Linked DNA regions of Oryzias latipes. The protein of the gene in region 2 purifies or fractionates together with the protein of the main gene of each other region. This does not show direct contact. Links are inferred from orthologs where the notes say so. Each region holds a gene or a part of one and is shown on either strand. Other genes may lie near its edges.

The links.
Region 1: the proteins of eloa (region 2) and ctr9 purify together in Homo sapiens (affinity purification with mass spectrometry; 4 studies listed by BioGRID and IntAct, with this or other methods). This does not show direct contact. The link is inferred for Oryzias latipes from reciprocal best matches to the Homo sapiens genes ELOA and CTR9.

Annotation. Positions count from the first base shown.
Region 1 is NC_019861.2:20,028,608-20,036,758, forward strand, and holds the start of ctr9 (RNA polymerase-associated protein CTR9 homolog), read left to right. Parts: upstream 1-3,710; 5' UTR 3,711-3,822; coding exon 3,823-3,867; intron 3,868-4,877; coding exon 4,878-4,976; intron 4,977-5,214; coding exon 5,215-5,454; intron 5,455-5,540; coding exon 5,541-5,658; intron 5,659-5,741; coding exon 5,742-5,831; intron 5,832-5,997; coding exon 5,998-6,254; intron 6,255-6,348; coding exon 6,349-6,456; intron 6,457-6,532; coding exon 6,533-6,769; intron 6,770-6,890; coding exon 6,891-7,109; intron 7,110-7,344; coding exon 7,345-7,528; intron 7,529-7,622; coding exon 7,623-7,711; intron 7,712-7,789; coding exon 7,790-7,975; intron 7,976-8,151. UniProt on the Homo sapiens protein: Component of the PAF1 complex (PAF1C) which has multiple functions during transcription by RNA polymerase II and is implicated in regulation of development and maintenance of embryonic stem cell pluripotency.
Region 2 is NC_019869.2:17,218,734-17,225,391, forward strand, and holds part of eloa (elongin-A), read right to left. Parts: coding exon 6,344-6,658; intron 5,795-6,343; coding exon 5,686-5,794; intron 5,236-5,685; coding exon 5,083-5,235; intron 4,892-5,082; coding exon 4,794-4,891; intron 4,303-4,793; coding exon 4,122-4,302; intron 4,042-4,121; coding exon 3,909-4,041; intron 1,984-3,908; coding exon 1,835-1,983; intron 1,743-1,834; coding exon 1,681-1,742; 3' UTR 1-1,680. UniProt on the Homo sapiens protein: SIII, also known as elongin, is a general transcription elongation factor that increases the RNA polymerase II transcription elongation past template-encoded arresting sites.

The DNA of each region.
Region 1 (8,151 bases), on a different chromosome or scaffold from region 2:
AAATAATATACTACATTTACTGGGGAAACATCCCACTGGTCTGTGAGATTTCAGGGAATTGAAGAATCAGTGGAGCACATTTTGTGTCATTGTGAATTGTTTGGGGAAGAAAGACAGCAGCTGGAGGATGGAGTGTGGTTGCTAGAGAGAGAGGGGTTGAGTTTAAGGAGGCTTTTGGGAGGGGACAAAGCTATTTTTAATAAAGTTATTGGTTTTTTGAGGAGAACTGGACTGCTGAGAAGGATATATATATATATATATATATATATATATATATATATATATATATATATATATATATATATATATATATATATATATATATATATATATATATATATATATATATCTTCTTCTTCTTTCTCTTTCGGCTTTTCCCATCAGGGGTCGCCACAGCGAATCATCCTTTTCCACCTCACTCTATCATGGACATCTTCTACCCTAACATTAGCCAACTTCATGTCCTCTGTTAAGACATCCATGTATCTCCTCTTTGGCCGTCCTCTCGCCCTCCTGCCAGGCAGCTCCATCTCCAACATCCTTCTACCAATATATCCACTATCCCTCCTCTGAACATGTCCAAACCATCTCAGTCTGGCTTCTCTGACTTTGTCCCTAACACAGGCAACATGAGCCGTCCCTCTGATGTACTCGTTCCTTATCCTGTCTAACCTGGTCACTCCTAAGGAGAACCTCAACATCTTCATCTCCGCTACCTCCATCTCAGCCTCTTGTCTCGGTCTCACTGCTACCGTCTCTAACCCATAGAGCAGAGCTGGTCTCACCACTGTCTTGTACACCTTTCCTTTGAGTCTTGCTGGCACTCTTCTGTCACACAACACTCCTGACACTTTCCTCCACCCGCTCCAACCTGCCTGCACTCGCCTCTTCACCTCTTTTCCACACTCCCCATCACACTGAACTGTTGACCCCAAGTACTTAAACTCCTGCACCTTCTTCACCTCAGCCCCCTGTAACCTAACGCTTCTACCTTGATCCCTCTCGTTCAGACACATGTATTCTGTCTTACTACGACTGACCTTCATACCTCTTCTTTCCAGAGCAAACCTCCACCTCTCTAGCTGTTCCTCCACCTGCTCTCTACTCTCACTGCAAATTACAATGTCATCCGCAAACATCATTGTCCAGGGAGATTCCTGTCTTACCTCGTCTGTCAGCCTGTCCATCAGCATAGCAAACAAAAAAGGACTCAAAGCTGATCCTTGGTGTAGTCCCACCTCCACCTTGAACTCCTCTGTCTGACCTACAGCACATCTCACCACCGTCATACTTCTCTCATACATGTCCTGAACTACTCTGACATACTTCTCTGCCACTCCAGACGACCTCATACAGTACCACAGCTCCTCCCTCGGCACCCTGTCATACGCCTTCTCTAAATCTACGAACACACAATGCAGCTCCTTCTGACCTTCTCTGTACTTTTCCATCAACATTCTCAAAGCAAAAATGGCATCAGTGGTGCTCTTACGGGGCATGAAACCATACTGCTGCTCACAAATCTCCACCTTCTTCCTAAGCCTGGCTTCCACTACTCTTTCCCACAGCTTCATTGTGTGGCTCATCAACTTTATTCCTCTATAGTTGCTGCAGTTCTGCGTGTCACCCTTGTTCTTAAAGATCGGGACCAGAACGCTTCTCCTCCATTCCTCAGGCATCTTCTCACTCTCTAAAATCCTATTGAACAACCTCGTTAGAAATTCCACTGCTGTCTCTCCTAAGCACTTCCATACCTCCACAGGTACGTCATCAGGACCAACGGCCTTTCCGCTCTTCATCCTTTTCAGAGCCTTCCTAACCTCATCCTTTCCAATCTCTGCTACTTCCTGCTCCACAACAACCACATCTTCCTCCCTTCTTTCCCTGTCATTTTCCTCGTTCATCAGCTCCTCAAAATACTCCTTCCATCTTTTCTGTACACTCTCCTGGGTTGTTAGCACCTTTCCATCTCTGTCCTTAATCACCCTTATCTGTTGCACGTCCTTCCCATCTCTGTCTCTCTGTCTGGCTAGCCTGTACAAGTCCTTTTCTCCTTCCTTTGTGTCTAACCTGTCATATAGCTCATCGTAAGCTTTCTGTTTGGCCTTTGCCACCTCTCTCTTCACTCTACGCTGCGCTTCCTTGTACTCCTGTCTACCTTCCTCAGTCCTTTCTACATCCCACTTCCTTTTAGCCAACCTCTTCCTCTGGACGCATTCCTGTACTTCCTCATTCCACCACCAAGTCTCTTTACCGTCTTTCCTCTTTCCAGATGACACACCTAGCACCTTCCTACCTGTTTCCCTGATAATTTCTGCTGTAGTTTCCCAGTCATCTGGAAGCTCATCCTGACCACCCAGGACCTGTCTCAACTTCTGCCTAAATTCCTCACAAGTTTCTTCATTCTGTAGCTTCCACCACTTGGTCTTCTTTTCTGTTTTCCCTCTCTTCTTCTTCCTGACCTCCAGAGTCATCTTACACACCACCATGCGGTGCTGTCTGGCTACACTCTCTCCTACCACCACTTTGCAGTCAATAACCTCTCTCAAATGACCTCGTCTACATAGGATGTAGTCCACCTGAGTACTCCTACCTCCACTTCTGTATGTCACTCTATGTTCCTCTCTCTTCTGGAAGTAAGTGTTGACTACAGCCATTTCCATCCTCTTCGCAAAGTCCACCACCATCTGTCCCTCCAGATTCCTTTCCTTCACACCAAACCTGCCCATCACCTCCTCATCACCTCTGTTGCCCTCACCAACATGTCCATTAAAGTCTGCTCCAATAACAACTCTCTCTCCTCTGGGGATACTCTCTATGACCTCATCCAACTCACTCCAGAATCTCTCCTTCACTTCTAACTCACAGCCAACCTGTGGCGCATACCCACTGACTACATTCACCATCACCCCTTCAATTTCTAACTTTAGGCTCATCATCCTGTCTGAGACTCTTTTCACCTCTAGAACACTGTTTACAAACTCCCCCTTCAGAATCACTCCTACCCCGTTTCTCTTCCTATCAACACCATGATAGAACAGTTTGTATCCTCCTCCAATACTACGTGCCTTGCTGCCCTTCCACCTTGTCTCCTGCACACACAGTACATCTAGCTTCCTTCTCTCCATCATGTCTGCCAGCTCTCTGCCTTTCCCTGTCATTGTGCCAACGTTAAGAGTCCCTATTCTCAAACCTATGTTCCTGCCTTTTCCCTTCTCTCTCTGGCCACGGACCCTTCTGCCTCCCCTCTTTCTTCGACCAACAGTAGTCAAATTTCCACCGACACCCTGTAGGTTAACAGCATCGGTGGCGGTCGTTGTTAACCCGGGCCTCGACCGATCCGGTATGTGTAAAGTGTTGTGGATGATTCGCATGGTTATTTTGGCAATTTTTACGCCGGATGCCCTTCCTGACGCAACCCTCTCTATTTATCCGGGCTTGGGACCGGCACAGAGGCAACTGGCTTGCAACCCCTGCGGCTAGATTATATATATATATATATATATATATATATATATATATATATATATATATATATATATATATATATATATATATATATATATATATATATATATATATATATATATATATATATATATATTTTTTTTTTTAGTTAGTCCCCCACTCCGACCCTTACTCCAACACAGCAGGTGGCGGTATTGCAGAAGAAGAAGTCTGTTATTCCAGCCGGATTGAATTTTCAGTTACACAGTCTGTTGCTTGCTGGGGCACCAAATAGCAAGCAGCAGACAACGGGCTAGATTTTTGTAGTCTTTTTTAAAAATCTATCTTGAGAAGGATCTACCCTTCAAAGCCAAGATGTCTCGAGGCTCAATAGAGATCCCATTGAGGGACACGGATGAGGTGAAAGTCATAGTTGCAAATTGTTTTGATTGATGTTTGGAAGCGAACCTCGCTGCGATGCTAGTTTCTTATGCTAACAGCAGCTAGCAAGCGCTAATTGTGACATTTCGTCTTACAGATAAGAGTAATGTAAACAGTTGTGACGCTTTGGTTGGTTTAAATGTTTACCCAGTAAAATGCAATTAAAACTAAATATAGGCAACATGTAAAACAGTTGTGTGGGAAAGGGAACTATCTTAATTTAACGTATTCCCCCCCTGTTTGGGAAACAGAAGCTAACGTTTACAGAAATTGGACTACATAGTTTCTGCATTACATACATCAACAGTTATATTGAGATCTAAAGAATGTCATTTAAATCACGACTTTGACGCTGTAGGCTATATGGCTAATTTTATAAAACCAGAAGTAAACAAATAAACATGGAATACCTTCTTGAACTCTGTTTGCACTACTTATTCTGTTTATTGTTCTGACCATTGTGTCATTTTAAATTTTGCTTACTGTTGTTCATTTTTTCTATTCTTAAGTGTTTTATGTTGCACATTAGCACTGCAGCAAATTCCAATTCTGTGAAACTGCCCTGTTCACTGAAAATGGCAATAAAGAATCCTTGAATTCTAACACACTCACATAAAAAAAGGAACTTAGTGTTCTTAGTCAGAGGCTTCTTTGGGAAAGGAATCATTGCAACTTCTAATTTTTCTTTAGAGCCTTGATGAAATATTTTCGATTTTTAAGCTTCAGTCTGTGGTCACGTGAACTTTGAAAAGTAATTCTTATGAACTGAGGCCTGTAAACCACACGATTATCAGAGTTCTGAAGTGCATTCAGATTTGGTGATTACAGATGAGTTATTTCTGGTATTAAACGAACAGACTTGCAACTTCAAACATGATCTAAGTCGCATTATAACTGCTGATATTTATTTACTGCCACTCATACTCTAAATAAAGATTAAGTCAGATTTTCGTCTGTCCTGAAGAAATAAACTTTGTTGTGCCCTGCAGGTCATTGAGCTCGACTTTGACCAGCTTCCTGAGGGAGACGAGGTCATCAGCATCTTGAAGCAGGAACATACACAGCTGCACATCTGGATTGCTTTGGCAGTGAGTATTTCAAATAATAAAACATTGATTGAAATTACTTTTGTTTTTCTTGTAAATTCAACTAGAATTTCCCGATAGTACTCTCTTGAGATATTAGATCAACAGATCATAAAATAAATGACTTCCTAAAAATGTCATTGTAATCACTGCAAACTAAGTTTTTGTAAAGAGAACATATTATCTGATAAATATCATGAAGTCCCCTTTATACCCTCTGAATCGATGCTTTTCTCCTCAGTTGGAGTATTACAAACAGGGCAAGACAGAAGATTTTGTGAAGCTTCTAGAAGCCGCACGTATTGATGGAAACCTCGACTACAGAGACCATGAAAAGGACCAGATGACCTGCTTAGACACCCTGGCTGCTTATTATGTTCAGCAAGCACGTAAAGAGAAAAACAAAGATGCCAAAAAAGAGCTCATCACCCAGGCCACTCTGCTCTATACCATGGCGGACAAAATCATCATGTACGACCAGGTACGGCAGATGTTTCGTAGCAGGCAGTAGTGAAATAAAGCTGCTTTGGCTTTATTGAAAACGCACCGTATTGTTGACTCGTTTAGAACCATTTGTTGGGAAGAGCTTGTTTCTGCCTGCTGGAAGGAGACAAGATGGACCAGGCTGATGCTCAGTTCCACTTTGTCCTTAACCAGTCTACAAACAACATCCCCGCTTTGCTCGGTACGATGAGTTTCGGAGAAAACTTTCTCAGCTCTTGCCGCCGCGATCAGTTTAAAATAATAATTGCCTTTGTTTTTCAATAGGAAAGGCCTGCATCTCATTCAATAAAAAGGACTACAGAGGAGCACTGGCATACTACAAAAAGGCTTTACGCACAAATCCTGGCTGCCCAGGTAAAATGTGTTGCACACTATAGAAGTGCTGCTGCTGAAAATGTTTCCATTCTGTTATTTGGTTCAAATTTTTGGTATTTTGGTTTAAGACAAAACCTAATAACATTTTAGTTAATTTGTGTCATGTCTGATTGTCTTTTTTCTTTTTTTTTTAATCCATGTGTAGCTGAGGTAAGGCTGGGGATGGGCCATTGCTTTGTCAAGCTCAACAAACTGGAGAAAGCTCGTTTGGCGTTCAGTCGCGCCCTGGAGCTGAATTCAAAGTGTGTGGGAGCGCTCGTTGGTTTGGCGGTTTTGGAGCTCAACAACAAAGAGGCAGACTCCATAAAGAACGGAGTCCAGCTCCTGTCACGGGCCTACACCATCGACCCCAGCAACCCTATGGTGCTTAACCACCTCGCCAACCACTTCTTCTTCAAAAAGGTAACCCCTTGGTTTCCCTTAGCTGTTCAGTAATAATAAGAATGTCTGACTTTGGCTGCATTTTCATAATTTGTGCTTGTATGTTTACTGCTAGGATTACAGAAAAGTGCAGCATCTGGCACTTCACGCTTTTCACAACACGGAAGTCGAGGCCATGCAGGCTGAGAGCTGTTATCAGCTAGCCCGCTCCTTTCACGTCCAGGTAAGTAACTCTTTTTAAACCTATTTAGGTTTCATTAAATTCAGTATATATCATGTTTGGTTTGTCTCATCTTTAGGAGGACTACGACCAGGCCTTCCAGTATTACTACCAGGCCACTCAGTTTGCTTCAACTACCTTTGTGTTGCCCTTCTTTGGTCTGGGTCAGATGTACGTTTATCGACGAGACAAAGAAAACGCAGCACAGTGCTTTGAGAAAGTTCTGAAGGCCTATCCGAACAACTACGAAACCATGAAAATCCTGGGGTCCCTCTATGCAACGTCTGATGATCAAGACAAGAGGGATATTGCAAAAGTGGGTTTGTTATGGATTCATTTTGTCCCATGGCAGGGAAAATTCCCTCTTAAAAAACGTTCACGTTATTTTTTAGTTTTAAACTTTCAAATGTTAGACGGATGCCTTTTTGGTTGTTCAGGGTCACCTCAAAAAGGTAACAGAGCAGTACCCAGATGATGTGGAGGCGTGGATTGAGCTCGCCCAGATCTTGGAGCAGACTGACATCCAGGGCGCTCTGTCTGCTTACGGCACAGCCACTCGCATCCTGCAGGAGACGGTGCAGGCCGACGTTCCCCCCGAAATTCTCAACAACCTGGGCGCTCTGCACTTTAGACTGGGGAACCTGGGAGAAGCCAAGGTAAGAGAAAAGCAACTTTTGCTTGTTATTGGCACTTTTCAAGTGATACTTTTTTTATTCATTATTTAAAGTATGTGTATTTAAATGTGAAAAATATCGCGAAAACATTTTTCAAGACCATCTTGTTGATTCTGCAGCCTGGAGCACAGAAAGAGTACAAAATTAATTAATCAATGTGGGGTTAAGCAGAGTTTGTGGTGCTATCTCAGTGCTGGTTGTTTCTTGTTCTTTATAGAAATACTTCCTTGCATCCTTGGAGAGAGCCAAAGCTGAAGGGGAGCATGATGAGCATTATTACAATGCCATTTCTGTGACCACTTCCTACAATCTGGCCCGTTTGTATGAGGCGATGTGTGAATTCCACGAAGCTGAGAAACTCTACAAAAACATCCTCCGGGAGCATCCCAATTATGTGGACTGTAAGCACCAAACTTAAAGTATTAAGAAATGGAAATTTCTTTCCTTTCTTCTATAATTAACCCTTTTCTTAAAAATTAACCTGTCAAATTTCAGGTTATTTGCGTCTTGGAGCAATGGCTCGTGACAAAGGGAACTTCTACGAGGCCTCTGATTGGTTCAAAGAAGCCCTGCAGATCAATCAGGTACGAACATTAAGCGTTAGAGCATTGACGAGAAATATCGAGTATAAACCACATCTTTTTGTTTGTTCTGTAATGCAGGATCACCCGGATGCCTGGTCCTTAATCGGGAATCTTCACTTGGCAAAACAAGAGTGGGGGCCGGGCCAAAAAAAGTTTGAGAGGATTCTGAAGCAGCCGTCCACCCAGAACGACACCTACTCCATGCTTGCTCTGGGAAACGTGTGGCTTCAGACCCTGCACCAGCCGACGAGGGACCGGGAAAAGGTGCAGCCGCCGTCAGTCAGCCAGCCCACCGTGAAACAGGAAAAAAGTTTCACTACATTTACAAACGAGTGAAAGTGGTTACAAAAGGCTCTTACTAATTAATGTTATTGAAAACACAAATAAGGTTTTTTTTTTGTTTTAGGTTATACAAAGTTGGAACAGTTTGTTTCAAATAG
Region 2 (6,658 bases):
TTTTATAATTTTCGTTTCTTTTCTGAGGAAAAGTTGAGATGTTGGAAACTTTCTGCAAGTTTTCTTGGCGAGAGTTGAAATTAGAAAGTTGATACATATCTAATTTCTGTGACAAAGGCTACACTAAGGCCTTCAACTCACCAGTTTAGCACAAAGACTAAAAACAAGTCATTTCATTTCTAATCAAATTCTTTACTAAAAATTTCAGCAGTTTTTAGCAGTTTACTTTGTCTTAAAATTCTTTAAAACCCAATTATTCTTGAGGAGAAGACTGTTTAATGTTTCATTGCTAATACATTTTGATTGCCGACGCCACTAAAACTAAAACAAATGGTGTATTTTTTAGCTGTTTCATAGATGTTTCATATTTTCTAAAAAGTAATCATCAATTTATTTGTAAAAGAAATATGACACGATTTGTAAAGAAACTAAAAATCTGCATGGTTTGTTGTATCTTGGAGACAGAGGATAACTGTCTGCATTATATACTTGATGGGAATTGGTTTGGTGTTGATAAGTCTGACATTACAATAAAATTGTAATTTTTTTTATGTGGAGATGTTTCTAAAGCCGATCAACATTGTAGATTCTTGTTTTTAGTCTCTGTGCTGAGGTCTAGCAGCAGCTAAAGGTTTGGAAAAATGAAATTTTTCATAAAACGTCAAGAAAGAAAGGTCAAAAAACACAAAAATGTCTTTAAAACCGTCCACTTAAAAACAATCAAAGGTAACAGCATAGGTGTGTGCATGTCTTTTTTTGAGATGGTAAATTCCTTTTCTTTGCACTAAGACCATTATTTAGGATTTAATTTTATAAAATTTCCTTCCCCAAATATACATAAAAACACAGTAAACCATCTTTTTCATCATCGCAGAGTTCATAGGTTATGTTCTGAAGGTCAAAGCGAACTGTGTGTTTGTGTTGGAGGGAAACAGGATATGGGCTCAGGTGTGCATCAGCCTTTCTTTTTGAGCTTGTAAGTGAATATTCACCAAAAGCTTGTTCTTCCAAGGAAATCCAAAATGAAAGAGTTTCCTTTTATAACACAAAATGCTGTCGTTTGACAAAAAACCACGACAGTAGGAGAGCTTTTGTGAGCATCTGTTCACAGATTTAGCAAAAATTAGCATTTAATGCTGTAACAGATTGTGTGACTGCACTTGAAAGCAGAGATTTGGACCCAGTTTCTGTCCCACAGGAGATCAGACTACAACATGTGCTTGGATGGATTTCTATGGAATCTATAGCATTTAATTTTTAGTCAAGATTTAAATTTTTGAACATTTGAATTTGGGCTTCTCTTTAAGGGCAGAGGAGGAGGTGTCTTTAGCTCTCCTACGTTGCGATTTTTCTTTTACCCATCTACAGTAATCTAACAATGATAGTTAGCGTTCCAGTCCCAAACAATGATGCCACCACCTCTGTGTTTCACAGAAGAATTGTGGATAGATGTTCACAAAAGCCCTTCTGCTCACCATATGTCTTTGAAAAAAGAAAAACTCTTCTCTCAGAAGACTTGAACTTGGATTACAAGCACAACACTGCAATCACTCGTTGATGAATGATCTCAAAATCTCATAGACCCCTCACTGAAGCCCATAACGCAGTTCCCTTGTAAATGGTTTGTAGCTTCAATTAAAAACTGTTGTAATTGATACAATACATTCAGGCTCATTCAGATTACCGGCGGGAGAATCTGTTCTTGAACGCTTTGATGGTTTTGGCCATCATAGGGGCGATTTCTGCAGAACAGATCAAACATGGAGGTTTAATTGATGCAAACATATAAAGATTTAATGCAAATCTAATGATAAAAAAGTGCCTGTGAACTTACTTTTGACAGCTGGCTTCTCTCGACCAAGTCCTCCTGCTCCTCCTCCACTTGGAGCGGAGGGCCGGGATGAAGGCGCAGGTGAGGCCAGCAGAGAGGAGGAAGAGGAGCGGCTCGACTCTCCAGAGTCGCCTGTAACAACTGGTCGGATTCTTGAGGAGAAAAAGAAATATTTGAGAGGGAATAGAAGTGAAAGAATAGTACAAATAACTTTAACTTAAAAAATAAGATAATCAAAGAAGTTTTTTTTATGGAGTAAAATTCTTCCTATAGCATCCCTGGAGCATTTAGACTTAAATATGTACAGTCTGGTTTTTGTTGACAAGACCAGCTAAACATTTTTCATTTTAAGCAATTCTGGTTCATTTGATGGCAACAGCATCTGTTTCAGTTTTTTTTTAAAAAGCAGAAAAATAGATGAAAGTAAAAGAAAAAACTTTCAAAAGTTAGGTGGGTGATTATTTAGATTGCATATAGGCAGGGAAATACAGATTATAAGTAATACATTTGGTTAGAAGTTCACCCGTCTGAGTCAACAATTTTGATTTGATTTGATTTGAAATGGTTTATTTCAAGCAATTAAGTAGAAATAATACACAACAGCAATATAATCATCAGTTATACATTCATACAGTAACTAATCAAACTTAGGATAATTAGACATATTAATAAATATTGCTTGAAAGGGAGTGGAAGGAAGCAAACTTATATAATCCCACCACGTTATACTATAACCATTTTATTACATGATTTATCAATATCCGGTTCCCAGTTTTTATCAGACAGAATTAAAAGTCATAAGATATCGATAAAGCACATGACAAAGATAAATTACTTAAGTATTACGTCAAAAATAACTATTTTAGAAATCAACATGGCAAATGCAGATCAGTCATCTGAAATATATGCAGATTATGTTACTTATAAAAGCCACTCATATGAATAAAACATAATACTATATCAGTAAAGTAGTGTAACCCGGAACCAGGTTAGTGTTACACATTTTAGGAAGACTGATTGTAATATGTTCATATGATGGCTTCTGAACGTCTTCAAAGAACAATTGAAAAATAATTCTCTTACAAATAAAATGGTTGCGTATTTGAGTTTATCTTTAATAATAAGGTAATCAGACTAGACTAGACTAACTAGACTAGACTAACTAGACTAGACTAGACTAGACTAGACTAGACTAGACTAGAATATTGTAATTGCCAGCAGCTGTTAAATTGTGGGTGGTCCAACAGCAACAGTGCACAGGGCAATAGTGAGTAAAATAAATAAATAACATGATAAAAGACAGTACATGGCATAAGGCAAACCTAAATACAAGAAACACGACGATAACAAAAAAAAATTAAAAAGCAGGAAACCCAATAAACAGAATTGAGGGTAAAGTGTAGTGTAATTATGTGCAATTAAATTAGCAAATAGACCTTTGAAGACGTACAGAAGCCATCATATGAACATATTACAATCAGTCTTCCTAAAATGTGAAACACTAAAACTACTTTTAGTAAGTCAGACCTCGGGTAAATACAGAATGGACACATGTGGAGAGTAGACTTGAATTCTGAGCGATTATTCTGTTGTTTTTTTTCCAACAAATGTTTTTCAACTGGAAAATGTTTTTAAAAAAACTCTACATCCAATCCAAGGGCTTTGTGTCAGATCCCCTATCCTGGTTGCAGTTTAGATCTCTTTTTGCCAGTTGTTCATTCACTTCTAAACACTGATGATGTAAATCTGCTAAAGTGAAGCTATGATCTGAGCCTGGCTGGCTGTTTCTGTGTCACTGAACCCTTTGCAGCGAAGTAAATAGAAGGCTCATATTAACAAACTTTATCTCAATGATACAAGGGTTTAGTTTTTGATGCATGGTATCAGTCTCCACAGCTGCTTGAATGCTGTCCTTTAAAAGCCTTCACTCTTTATCAAACCTCTAAGCTGCATCCTTTCTGTTGCCTTTTTCTATGACTAGTGCATTTCTATTCCAACAAATTCTTTAAGAAGAAAATTAAGTTGTTTTGAAGCTTTTATCAAAGATTAGATCAGAATAATAGTTTTATTCACTCACTTGATAGGAGAGGCAGCTGTAATAGAAGCCGCCGAGGACAAACCACTAGAGGTACCAAACCTCTCCTGTCGGCGCCGAACGTCACGTGGAGGCTTGGCCACAGAATTTACAAACGCCATCTTAACCTGTCGACCTGCAAAACACATGAAGGATGACTGTAAGAATGGCTGCCATTTCGAGACCAGCTTTAAAGTCTTCAAAATCTTCTCCTGCCTTTCGGTTTGTTGGCGTGTGCAGAGGTGATGTTCTGGGTGAGCAGCCTCAGCCGTTCCTCCCGCTCGTCATGCAGCCGCAGGTACATTTCCCTCCATGACTCGAACTCCTGAGGAGACTCGCGCTTAAAGTCTCGCTGGCAGTGGCGCTTCCACAGCTCGTCTGAATCTTCCGTAAAACACTGAAAGGTTAAAAAACAGATGCTAAGTGATTGAACATTAGGAGGATGGACACTGATAGAAATGCAACCAAAAGTATTGTGAATGGTGGGCTGAAGGAATGGAAAAAACAATTCAAACAATTATTTCTGTCCACATTTAGTTTGTCAATCAAACCGTCTTTTATCAATTGACATGATTAATGCATTGAACTTTTATGAAATAAATTAGCAGCGATTACAGAAAAGACACTTCTTATTTCTGTGAAACATGGCGGTGGTAGAATCTTTGTTTGGGTTTAGTTAGCCACAAGTTTAAACAATGAATTAGAACTAAAGGTTATAAATCCTTAAAAGAAAATAAAAGCAAAACTGAATCAAATAGGTTTAAAGTGAAAGGAGGGCGTGCGCTTAGTCAACCTTTATTTTTATGTAGGTTTGAAGCTGGCCTTTTCCTCTTTGTGAGTTCATTCGGGCCAGTTGTCTTTTGTAGCAAGTTTGGTTTGATGAATCACCTGATTGCTCAGCTCGATGCGGTACAGTTGTTCTGGGGTACATCTCTCCAGGACAGGCTCAAGGATCTCAAACGGGACTCCTCCCACCTCAGCGATGGCTAAAAGAGCACAAAACAGCTATATGATTGCCTTTGCTTTGACCATCCGAGTTACAGGTGGCTGGGTAGTCAAACACTTCAACTTCAAAAGCTCCTTGGAAAACTAACTTTCTGCTGCCACCTTCAGGGCTAATGAGAGACTGCTCTACCTCTTTGCTGATGGGATTTTTTTGGAAGAAATCGAAACTTACAGTCAATGTTGTTCTGCAGCACCCGGATGCACTGCTCATACAGAGTCATCATTTTGGGCAGGTAGGCAGATTTGGATCCGGAGTAAACAACCATCTTGGAGTTGAAACGTTTCCCAGTGAAGCCTGTGTCCTCTTCATCGTTGCAAACAGGAACTGAAAGTAAAGACAGCATGAAAGTCAGTCAGCTTGATCCTGAGCAGAGCTGCTTGCAGAATCACTGATCCTGACAGATTGGAAAGAATCTCTTGCTTTATTCAAACCTAAACTTGAAGTGGAATTAAAGCACAGAATAAGTGGAGATTGTCAGGTTACGTTATCACACAACTCTATTCATCAGAGCATACAGACAAAGGAAACTACAAGTCCAGCTGTCTTAAGAACAGAATCCAGTGAAAAACAAAAGTAGATTTCAAAGATGTTTACATCTGAAGCCACAAAAATGAGTCTAATGTCCCCAAGATAACACATTTGTTGATCACTGCTTCAAAGAGTTTTCAGCCATCTTTAATGTTTGTGTAAAAACACAAATCACTGTCTTCAATTCTCACTGGTATTATATCTTTCCATAGGAGCGTCGGTGTTTATATTTCTGGATCGTCTTACCTTTGCGCCTCTGAGGCGACAGCGGCGTGTCGATGGAGGGCAGAGGTCTGTAATTGGGTTGAATTGCCGGCAAAGGGATTTCCGGGAGAGTTGGAAGAGCTTCAACAACCTACACACAACAGTTTTATCAGTCAGTGCCAGGAAAGCTTTAATCTTGCATATGAGAAATGACCACATATGGGAAAGAAACTCCACAGAAGCTCAAGGAGTGGAGCAGTCTGGACATTTGTAATGTACAAAAAGCTTTAAGATATTGTTCAAAAATGTCGGAGGAGAAAGAAACAGAGACAAGATTTTAAACAAACTTTTGGCACCAAATGGCTTTAAAGATCTGTTCAGACATTTCTGGTTGTTCATTTAGTGACCTACAGACATTCAGGGGGTTGAGCTTTCCCTAACCATCACCTTGGCTACATTTTAGGGAGCATAAGATGGAAAAATAGATGGAACCTTCCATCTACCTTCCACGCCTGCAACCATCTGATGGGATGAATCTTTTGAGCAACAGCTTTTTTTACAGGGTATCCAACAATTTCAATACTATTTGAATCTGCTTTTCCCTAAACTTAGTGAATTTTAAAAGTTCATAAATTGAAAATTATTGATAAAAACTGCAGAGGAACATCTCAAAGACAGAGTGAACGCCGTGCATTCTCACCCTCTTGCGTTTCTCTGGCGTCCTTGCGGCAGCTGATGAGCTTGAGCTGGATCGAGGTCTTTTGGTGCCCTGGGCGCCGTTTGCTTTGCTCTCTTTACCGGATGACGAAGCGGCAGGTGGAGGAGGTGTGCGAGAGTGGCGGGAAGAGGACGAGTGAGAGGGATGCTTGTGTGAAGAGGATGAGGGCAACTGCTGCTGTTTCTTCTTCTTCTTGACCGGCGCATCATATGTAAGGAAGGACTCAAAGGACATGGTGTGCTTCTCAAACTCCTCTTCTTCTTCCTCTTTGGACAGAGAGTCCTTTGGTGCCATGGG